Mus musculus: one gene and its partner. The protein of the gene in region 2 interacts with the protein of the main gene of each other region in a pairwise test. Links are inferred from orthologs where the notes say so. Each region holds a gene or a part of one and is shown on either strand. Other genes may lie near its edges. The genes, in order: Tnnc2 and Tnni3.

What was found.
Region 1: the proteins of Tnni3 (region 2) and Tnnc2 interact in binary tests that used the Homo sapiens proteins (3 or more experiments, as listed by UniProt). The two-hybrid records come from large-scale screens. The link is inferred for Mus musculus from reciprocal best matches to the Homo sapiens genes TNNI3 and TNNC2.

What each region holds. Positions count from the first base shown.
Region 1 is NC_000068.7:164,776,847-164,781,442, forward strand, and holds Tnnc2 (troponin C, skeletal muscle), read right to left. Parts: upstream 2,889-4,596; 5' UTR 2,820-2,888; coding exon 2,817-2,819; intron 1,382-2,816; coding exon 1,330-1,381; intron 1,242-1,329; coding exon 1,098-1,241; intron 1,000-1,097; coding exon 885-999; intron 763-884; coding exon 626-762; intron 488-625; coding exon 456-487; 3' UTR 315-455; downstream 1-314. UniProt on the Homo sapiens protein: Troponin is the central regulatory protein of striated muscle contraction. Tn consists of three components: Tn-I which is the inhibitor of actomyosin ATPase, Tn-T which contains the binding site for tropomyosin and Tn-C.
Region 2 is NC_000073.6:4,519,550-4,523,920, reverse strand, and holds the start of Tnni3 (troponin I, cardiac muscle), read left to right. Parts: upstream 1-1,392; 5' UTR 1,393-1,605; coding exon 1,606-1,616; intron 1,617-1,838; coding exon 1,839-1,851; coding exon of another isoform or gene 1,852-1,875; intron 1,876-2,018; coding exon 2,019-2,105; intron 2,106-2,534; coding exon 2,535-2,576; intron 2,577-2,826; coding exon 2,827-2,958; intron 2,959-3,393; coding exon 3,394-3,483; intron 3,484-4,346; coding exon 4,347-4,371. Other genes in the region: Dnaaf3 (dynein assembly factor 3, axonemal), read left to right, coding at 62-605. UniProt on the Homo sapiens protein: Troponin I is the inhibitory subunit of troponin, the thin filament regulatory complex which confers calcium-sensitivity to striated muscle actomyosin ATPase activity.

The DNA of each region.
Region 1 (4,596 bases), on a different chromosome or scaffold from region 2:
GTGGGGGGAAAGAAGCGTTGCCTCTTACCTGGTTCCAGCTTCCGCACACCCTTACCCTATCCGTCCCAGGTAACAGGCGGCCGGCTCACCTTGGGACCTCCCTCTTCCAGCGCCAAGCGCAAGGGTGGACCATTTGTCCAGTTGCCCACTGCTAGCTCCAGCTGCTGGTAGCCGGCTGCGAACCTGCGAGCTCCGCCCAGCTCTCTGCCGCCCAAGCCTCCGGCTCGCGTGGCCCCTCCTTCTTTTCATACCCAGCTGCTCTGTGCCAGGCAGTCCCTAAGATCCCTTGCCCTCAATCAGTCGGTCAAGCCAGCTTTACATTGTCAACTTTTATTCCTTCCAGTCACAGAGCCCAAAGGAGCAGCCTTTCCCGTGTGAGGCAGGGAAAGCAAAGGTGGAGCTGCCCACGCCCAGGGGACCTGCAGTCTGGATGGACACGAACAAAGACCGTCTCCTTACTGAACGCCCTCCATCATCTTCAGAAACTCTGCGAAGAAGAGGGACTAGGTCAGGCGTACCGTTCAGGGCACAGCGGGTGCCTACTCGTTACCGTCAATAGAATGAGAAGGAATTTAGTCTATTCCCAGCCCCACCCACAAAGCCAAGAGCACCAGCTGGCCCTCACCATCAAAGTCAATGCGGCCGTCGTTGTTTTTATCACCATCCTTCATCAGGGATTCGATCTCCTCTTCTGTCACATGCTCCCCAGAAGCCCGGAAAATCTCAGCTAGCTCCTCAGCATCAATGTAGCCGTCTGCGTTCCTTTGGGAGGGAAGGACAGAGAAGGACACAGGGTCAACCTCACCCTGGCCAGCCTGCTTCTTCACTTCAGGCCCACGGGCTCCATCTGCTCTCAGGTCCAGGATCCCGGAAGCCCCACGCACCTGTCAAAGATGCGGAAGCACTCAGCCAGTTCCTCTTCGCTCTTCCCCTTCGCATCCTCTTTCATCTGGCGCACCATCATGACCAAGAACTCTTCAAAGTCGATAGTACCGCTGCCTGCAAGGATCGGGGTTGGCAGATGTGGGGCCTGCTTAGCCCAAGGTGCCCTGTGCCTCTCTCCTCCCGGTCCCCTGCCCTGGAGGAGCCCAACTCACCATCCTCGTCCACCTCCTCGATGATGGCATCCAATTCCTCTTTGGTGGGTGTCTGCCCTAGCATCCTCATCACGGTGCCCAACTCTTTAACGCTGATGTCCCCACCGCCATCAGCATCGAACATGTCAAAGGCAGCCTTGAACTCTAGCGGGGAGACAGGAGGAGCGATGGGTGAGGCCAGTTGGATTGTCAGCCTCACACCGCATCTCTCCCAATGGCTAGCTCTACTCACCAGCGATCATCTCCTCGCTGAGGTAGGACCTGGCCTCAGCCTGTTGGTCCGTCTGTAGAAAGCAGAGAGAATCAGAGCGTAGAAGGGCAGACTCTCACCCCAGCTTCAGCCTCCCTAGCCCCCTCTTGTATTAGGAAGAGCCCCTGGGTCCTCCAGAACCACTCCAAACCAGCAGTACCTCCCAGGTACCCGTTGGTGCCCATCCCCAGTGCCAAAGGGACACAGGTTATACCCACAGTTTCTTCAGAGAGTAGTCGGGGAACCCCCACCCCAACAGTGACCTTTGGCAAGTCACTCTTCCTATGACTTTGTAGAGATAATAAGAAATCAGGATTGAGAGAGGGCTTGAGTGTGTTAGTGCCATTCACTGGTGATCTTTTAGTTTCCCTGTCTCCTATTGCTGCCTGGGACTTGACCAGTTGGTCAATGAATATTTGTCCTCAACTAAATAACGGAATGCAAAAGTCACAGAACATCTGCCAAGCGCTTGGACGCTGAGACCACAAGAAGAGATGGGCAGCTTTGCCTCAGACAGTTCTCAGAGGCAAGACTTCCCACTCGGTCATCGGCGTAAACACCTCTCTTGATGTCAAATGTGACGGAGCCTTGCCCTGGTGTGAAAATAAAAACCCTTTGTTCCATTTCAACGTTCTGGCTTTGGTGTTTAGAGAGTCTTGCTATGTAGCTCACTCGGGTTGGCCTGGCATGCCACATGTGAGCATGTAAGTAAGATTTCTGTGAATTTCTCTGGGACACATCCAAGCCAGGCCATCTGGGTCAGGGCTTTGGACTCGGGATGGTGAAGAAGGGGTGACGAGTCCCAAGACATCCTTCAGCCAGCTGGCCCAGTTCCTCCTTCCCTCCTCCGGCCCTTGGCCTGATCCAGGAGGATAGGCTATTTTTAGTTGGGCATGGGCAATGGCAGCTGGTCTCTGGAGTCCAATTACTTCTTCAAGTCAAGTAGGAGGGGTACGCAGAAGAAAGTGGCAGGTCCAGATCAGACCCCCTCTGTGGCTGGTCAGAGGCTCTAACGCTGGCCGGGTACCCACCCTACTAACCATCCTCCTCAGGATTCTTAGAGGAAGCCTTCCTTCTTGGGTCGCCACAGGCTTGGCTGAGCCTATGAAGCCTACTCTGTGTCTGCCCTGCTGGGTCACTTTTCTGCCCTCGTGCTCTCCATCTCTCCGTGGAAGCAGACAGGCTAAGACCTTTCCACACAGCTCTGGCTGCACAATAGCACTGTTCCAAACCTCAAGGTGGCCAGGAACTCATAAACCTTGAAGATTAATTCCTGAACTATCCTGGCCAGCCTTCCCCACCCAAGAGAAGTCATAGCCTTTATAGGACATCTCCTCGGGACTTGAGTTCTGGCAACCCTTCCACCTTCAGATGTCCATATTCCTGCCCACAGAACACACAGTTCTAGGACAGAGAGGGGCCTAGAAGTAGCCTGGGGACAAAAGTGTGAAGACCCTTCTTGTCCTTACCATGGTTGCTGGCGACTGGGACTCCTCCGCTGTGGGTTGTCTCCTCCGCACTCCACCACCCAAAGGTGCCCCAGATCTCTCTAGCCCCCAGGATTTGTAGGGGCATCCTCTCTTCCCTCCTCCCTCCTCCCCAGAACTGGATATCCTGACCAATCAGATGCAGGGGGCAGCAAGCCCCTCCCCTCCTAGAGTCCTAGCCCATTACCTAATTTAGCCAAGGTCCTTTGCAGGGAAATTTAAGCTTCGGAGCAGGTGGCACTCTCTGGCGTTCTCCTGGATTCTTAGGAGGAGGGCCCCGCCCTGCTCCACTGTCTTAGGGGAGCTCCTCCCCCCACCCCACTCCAGCACATGTGTTTCAAAATGGGGGAGGATGTCCAGAAGGAGGGCACAGCAGAATGGGAAGAGCCCAGGCTTGACGTCCAAAATTCATTCATTCCCGACTCTGTTCTCCCCCTGAGCCACGGGAATGTGGGCGGATGGTGAGGGCCCTCAAGGCACACCTTCCTCCAAGATAGAAATGGCAACCATGAGCCCAGATGACTAAGTCACCTAGCTTGTGCTGGGTGCCTAGGGGAAGTGATGCGTAGCATTGAGCTAGTGACACCATGTATTGAACTCCCACAACCTGTGCCCACACTACGCTGAGCATCTTGATTCCGTGATCTCATCTACTATTCATTCCATGAAGGTAACTATTATTATCCCCATCTGACTACAGCAGAAGCCATACAGTCCATAGAGGAATTCTTTCCCTCACTTTGGAAGCCAGAGCTCATATAGTGCAGACCGGCCTTGAACCCCTTATGTAGCCGACGTTATCCTTGAGGTTCTAATCCCCCTACTTCCACCTCCAGAGGGCTTCGATCTACAGGCATGTACCACCAAACCCTGTTTAACTCCTTTGATTTATTTTGCAAAAGAGTCTGCCCTGTCAAGTGAGCCGCCCTCCGAATCCTGGGTTCAAGTGACCCTCTTGCTTTAGTCTCCCAAGTCACTGAGACTATAGGCATGCTAGATTATAGCGCTGGGTGGGAATTCAAGCCTCAGCCTTGTGCATGCTATAAAGTACTCTACCCACTGAGCTACACCCCCAGCCCTGGCGATTCTTTTAAAACGTAATTTTCTTAATGTGTATGGATGTTCTGTCTGCGCATATGTCTGTGCGTCATGTGTATGCCTAGGGCCCAAAGAGGCCGGAAGGAGACACCAGATCCCACGGTTGGGAGCCACCACGTGGGTGCTAGGAACTGAACCAAGGTCCTCTGGAAGAACAGCAAGTGCTCTTGAGCACTGAGCCGCAGCCTTGACAATTCTTTTTCTTTGCGGGGGTGGGGGGTGGGGGGTGGGGGGTGGGGTGGGGGGTTGAGACAGGGTTTCTCTGTGTAACCCTGGCTGTCCTGGAACTCACTTTGTAGACCAGGCTGGCCTTGAACTCAGAAATCCGCCTGCCTCTGCCTCCCGAGTGCTGGGATTAAAGGCATGCGCCACCACGCCGGGCAAGCCTTGCCAATTCTTATGTAACTTCATTGTGGGAAAATTTGGACAAGCATGACTCTGGGGACCACCTAGAAGTGTTCAGAGTAAAGAGAGTGAGGTTCACATTGTGAGGAGAAATGAGCACTGGAGAAAGTTTCTCTCCAGGTCTGCTCAGCCAGGGGAAAGGCGTTCAGGGCCCACTTTTTGGTAAGAACACTGGGTCCTCCAAATAATAAAGACAGCAAGAGGGTTTTTTTTTTTTTTTTTGGTCCGAGATATTGTATACCTAGAACTCTTCCTGCCA
Region 2 (4,371 bases):
GGTGGGAAGGTCACAGCTGGGCCAAAAGCCAGGTCTCCTCACACACAGTTTCCCAACATAGGTACTTGGTGGACCTGCGGCCCAAGGAGTTGAAGGCGTTCTCTGACCGCGTTGTAGAGATAGCGCGGGTGGCTGGGTTCGCCCCTCACACTGCAACCAAACCCTCGGAGACTTTTGCGAGGTTCTACAAGTTAGGGGACTCCACTCCGGGTGGCGGAGACTCAGCTGTGGAATCTGGACCCGCGCCCTCCAAAGTGGAATCTACCCGCGCCCCTCTCCCAGAATCGATAAGTCCGCCCCAGGCTAACCAGGCCCCCTCTCTAGAGGCGATGAGCCCACCCCTGGCTGACCTGGCCCCACCTCTAGAGACAATGTGTCCACCCCAGGCCAACCAGGCCCCTCCTCTAGAAGCGTTGAGCCCATCCAAAGCTGACCAGATCCCACCTCTAGAGGCGATGAGCCCACCCCAGGCTAAGCTAGTCCTGCCTGTAGAAGCAATCAGCCTTCCCCAAGCCGACCTGGCCTCTCCTCCGGAAGTGATAAGCCCACTCCAGGAAGCTATGGCAACGTCCTGGGTGAATGCACCTCCAAAACATGTAACATGAACCCCAGGGACCACGTAGCCCACCTTTAACTGCTGAAGCAGGCCCAGGGATTGACATCACCAGCTCAGCCCACCTGCATGCGGTTTTACTCTGCGTTCCTTCTCAACCCCAGGGATATGACTAGAACTTCAAATTCCTTTCCTGGAACTCTCGGTTGTACTATTTGGGGGGTAGGGGTGAGGGTGGGGGATGGGTCCTAGACTGTTATCTGAGACTTATCCTGACAAGGATCGAAGGCTGAAGGGACAACCCTGGGCTCCAGATCCTCTCTTTTGTCTTGGGCCTTTCTTGACATGCTGCTTTTGGGAAGGACAAGGGCATAGCCTTCCTTGAATGTGATTCAAATAAAAAGCGCAGGGTCACCTCTGTGTGTCCTGTCCTCAGTCGGTCTCCAGTGCCAAGAAGGGTGGGAGCAGCAGGGATGGGTCCCGATTGTGGGTTTGCAAGTGGGCTTGGCTGAATTTCACAGGAGTGAAGGATAAGATCCTTCAAACTAAACATGCCAGGGCCACTGAAACCGACAGAAACGTGGGGGAGAGAAAGGACACACTAGGTCCCAGAAAGACTGCAGTTCAGTGAGGGACCTAGGTGTGAGGACAGAAGGCCGGCATGGATTTCTGGGTATGAACATGGGAAGCTGAAGTCTAGACTCTTGGATTTGAGAGAAGAGGGACCTTGCTCCGGGTTTTCCTAAGTTTGAGGGAGGAGGGAGCTGGGGCGCTAGAGTCAAAGGAGGAGGGGTGTAGATCCTGGGCACCTTGGTTGACCCAACTGGAGCTTTGCACACGGCTCCCCTCACACCCTGTTATCGCTTATCCTGGGCAGGGGAGGAGACAGCAGTATATTTAGTCTTTGTCCTCGCCCCTTATCTCAGTGTCCTCAGTGAGGCTTGAGCAGCCCAGAGGAAACCCAACCTCTAGAGACCTCCAAGGTCACCAGGGACACCCTTCCAGGACCCTCCAGGAATCTCCGATCCTGTTCTCTGCCTCTGGAGATCATCATGGCTGATGAGTATGTGAATCTTCGTAGCCTTGGGGTGGAGACCTCAACAGGGAGAGGTGCGGTGGGTCTTGAGGGTGCAACCAGGTTGGATACTTGTCCTGAGAGAGTAGGAGGCAAGGGTGGTTGGATTTCTGTAGAAATGAGGTAAGAATTTGGGAATCAGACTCCTGGGGTTCAAGAGTCAGGGGACCACCATCAGTGATTTCCTCTTCACGGTTTCTCTCTCTTCAGGAGCAGCGATGCGGTGAGCTGTGAGCTAAGAAGTGGGGTAGGGAACCTTCGGTCCAGAGTGGGTGCTGCAGGGAGAGGACTGGGGACCAGTGGGCAGGGGAACCTGCCGCTAGAGGTGAGGTATCCAGGAAGGGCTGGATGGGAGGGTTTGGGTAGTGATGTAGCCTGCTTCAATTCCAGGCTGGGGAACCGCAGCCTGCGCCTGCTCCTGTCCGACGCCGCTCCTCTGCCAACTACCGAGCCTATGCCACCGAGCCACACGCCAAGGTGGGGCGGGGTCCAAGAGGATGGGCTTCTGGGTTCAAGAATCCTCTGAGACCCAGAAGGGGGCAGGACCAAGGCCCTGGAAAGGGGTGGTAGGGTGATGGGCAGAGCCCTATGGGTGGGGCAGAATTTCAGAAAGGTTCAGGTTGGGCTTGGTGACAGCGGCCTGTGGTTGGGGGGAACTTGCCTACAGCAAGGTTTAGGCGTGAGCGTAGTGGTTAGCAGTGAATAGATAGGCAGTGCGTAGCTCTAGTCGGAGACAAAGATTGGTAGATGGGACCGAGGAGCGTGGCTTCCAGTGGACTCCGCGTTCTGGTTGAAGAATGTCTGACCCGAATGGGTATGCACTCGAGTGGGTCGTGATGCCTTGCAGCTCCACCCAGTGTCCACTTTGGGACCTCACACTGACCTTTCTCCATATCACCTTGGCAGAAAAAGTCTAAGATCTCCGCCTCCAGAAAACTTCAGTTGAAGGTGATGATGAGGTCGCAGTGGGTGGGCTTGGGTGGGCGGAGCTTTGGGGGAGTGGTTTCGCTTCCGGAGTGTGTCAGTCCCCGCCTCCCCCGCCCCCCCCCCCCACGTGCGCGCGGGCAGAAACGAGGCAGGTTTTGAATAAAAGACACAAACTTGGATGTTCGGATATTCTGTCTCTCTGGAGGATGGAGGGAAATTTGTTATTCTTATACTTTTTGGGACTCTGTTGTCTGCTCCAACCATTCCGCAGACTCTGATGCTGCAGATTGCGAAGCAGGAGATGGAACGAGAGGCAGAAGAGCGACGTGGAGAGAAGGGGCGCGTTCTGAGGACTCGTTGCCAGCCTTTGGAGTTGGATGGGCTGGGCTTTGAAGAGCTTCAGGTACCAGTTTACAAAGCAAGGATTCCGGATAAGCCTGGGACCCGAGGTTCCTCATCTCTGGCCTGGCATCCCTTGGGTATCAGGAGCATAAGCACCATCTCAAGTTCTGCTCAGGATCTGCAATCCTTATGCCAAGCAATACGTTCAGCCCTACAGCTTCAAAACCCAGTGTATTTCTCCAGCCTCTATCTGCCAGGTCTCAGAATTCTTAGTTCCCGGCCATATTTCTTTAAGTTCCCTGGAGTGCAGATTCCGGTGTCAGCTTCCTTTCACCCCCTCCTTCCTCAGACTCAGGAGTCCAGACCCCAGCACTCCTCTCTCAAACTCGGGGGTCCAGAGCCTAGGCCTCCTTCCTCAGACCCAGAGGTCTCCTCTCTCAGACCAGGGAACCCAATCTCCAGCCTCCCTCTCAGCATCCACGCGTTCCTTCACCAGGACTTATGCCGACAGCTTCACGCTCGGGTGGACAAAGTGGATGAAGAGAGATATGACGTGGAAGCAAAAGTCACCAAGAACATCACTGAGGTGGGGAGCCCGGGGAAGCCTGGGACCTTCACATTACACCAAGATCTCCAGACTGTAGCTTCGGGCTGGGGGCTATGGACTCTTGTGCTTGAGATAACTCTAAGCAGAAAGCAGGCAGTGGCACAGGTACCTCGTGGCAAAGGAAGCTGTCTCTGCAGAGTAGAGCCTGGGTGGCACAAACGGGCCTGTAGAAACTGAGCATTGAGTTGAGCTCTGGGACAGGGAATAATGATCTGCACAGAGTGGGCTCAAGTTGTGTTAGACGCTGTCTTAGTCACGGTTTCTATTCCTGCACAAACATCATGACCAAGAAGCAAATTGGGGAGGAAAGGGTTTATTCGGCTTATACTTCCATACTGCTGTTCATCACCAAAGGAAGTCAGGACTGGAACTCAAGCAGGTCAAGAAGCAGGAGCTGATGCAGAGGCCATGGAGGGATGTTCCTTACTGGCTTGCTTCCTCTGGCTTGCTCAGCTTGCTTTCTTATAGAGCCAAGACTACCAGCCCAGAGATGGTCCCACCCACAAGGGGCCTTTCCTCCTTGATCACTAATTGAGAAAATGCCTTACAGTTGGATCTCATGGAGGCATTTCCTCAACTGAAGCTCCTTTCTCTGTGATAACTCCAGCTGTGTCAAGTTGACACAAAATTAGCCAGTATAGACACTTTGCGGGATGCTGCTAGGAGCATCAGGAAGAACATGGAGGTGCAGGCTGGAGGCTTTAATCTGGGGCCAGAGCTGGAAGAAGATTAGAAACAGAGAGCAAGAAAGGGACAAGGGAGAATTGTTTGTTTGTTGGAAGGAAGGAAGGAAGGAAGCAGAGGGAAGATGGGGGCTCCACACCCCATATGGTCCTCCCCAGATTGCAGATCTGACCCAGAAGATCT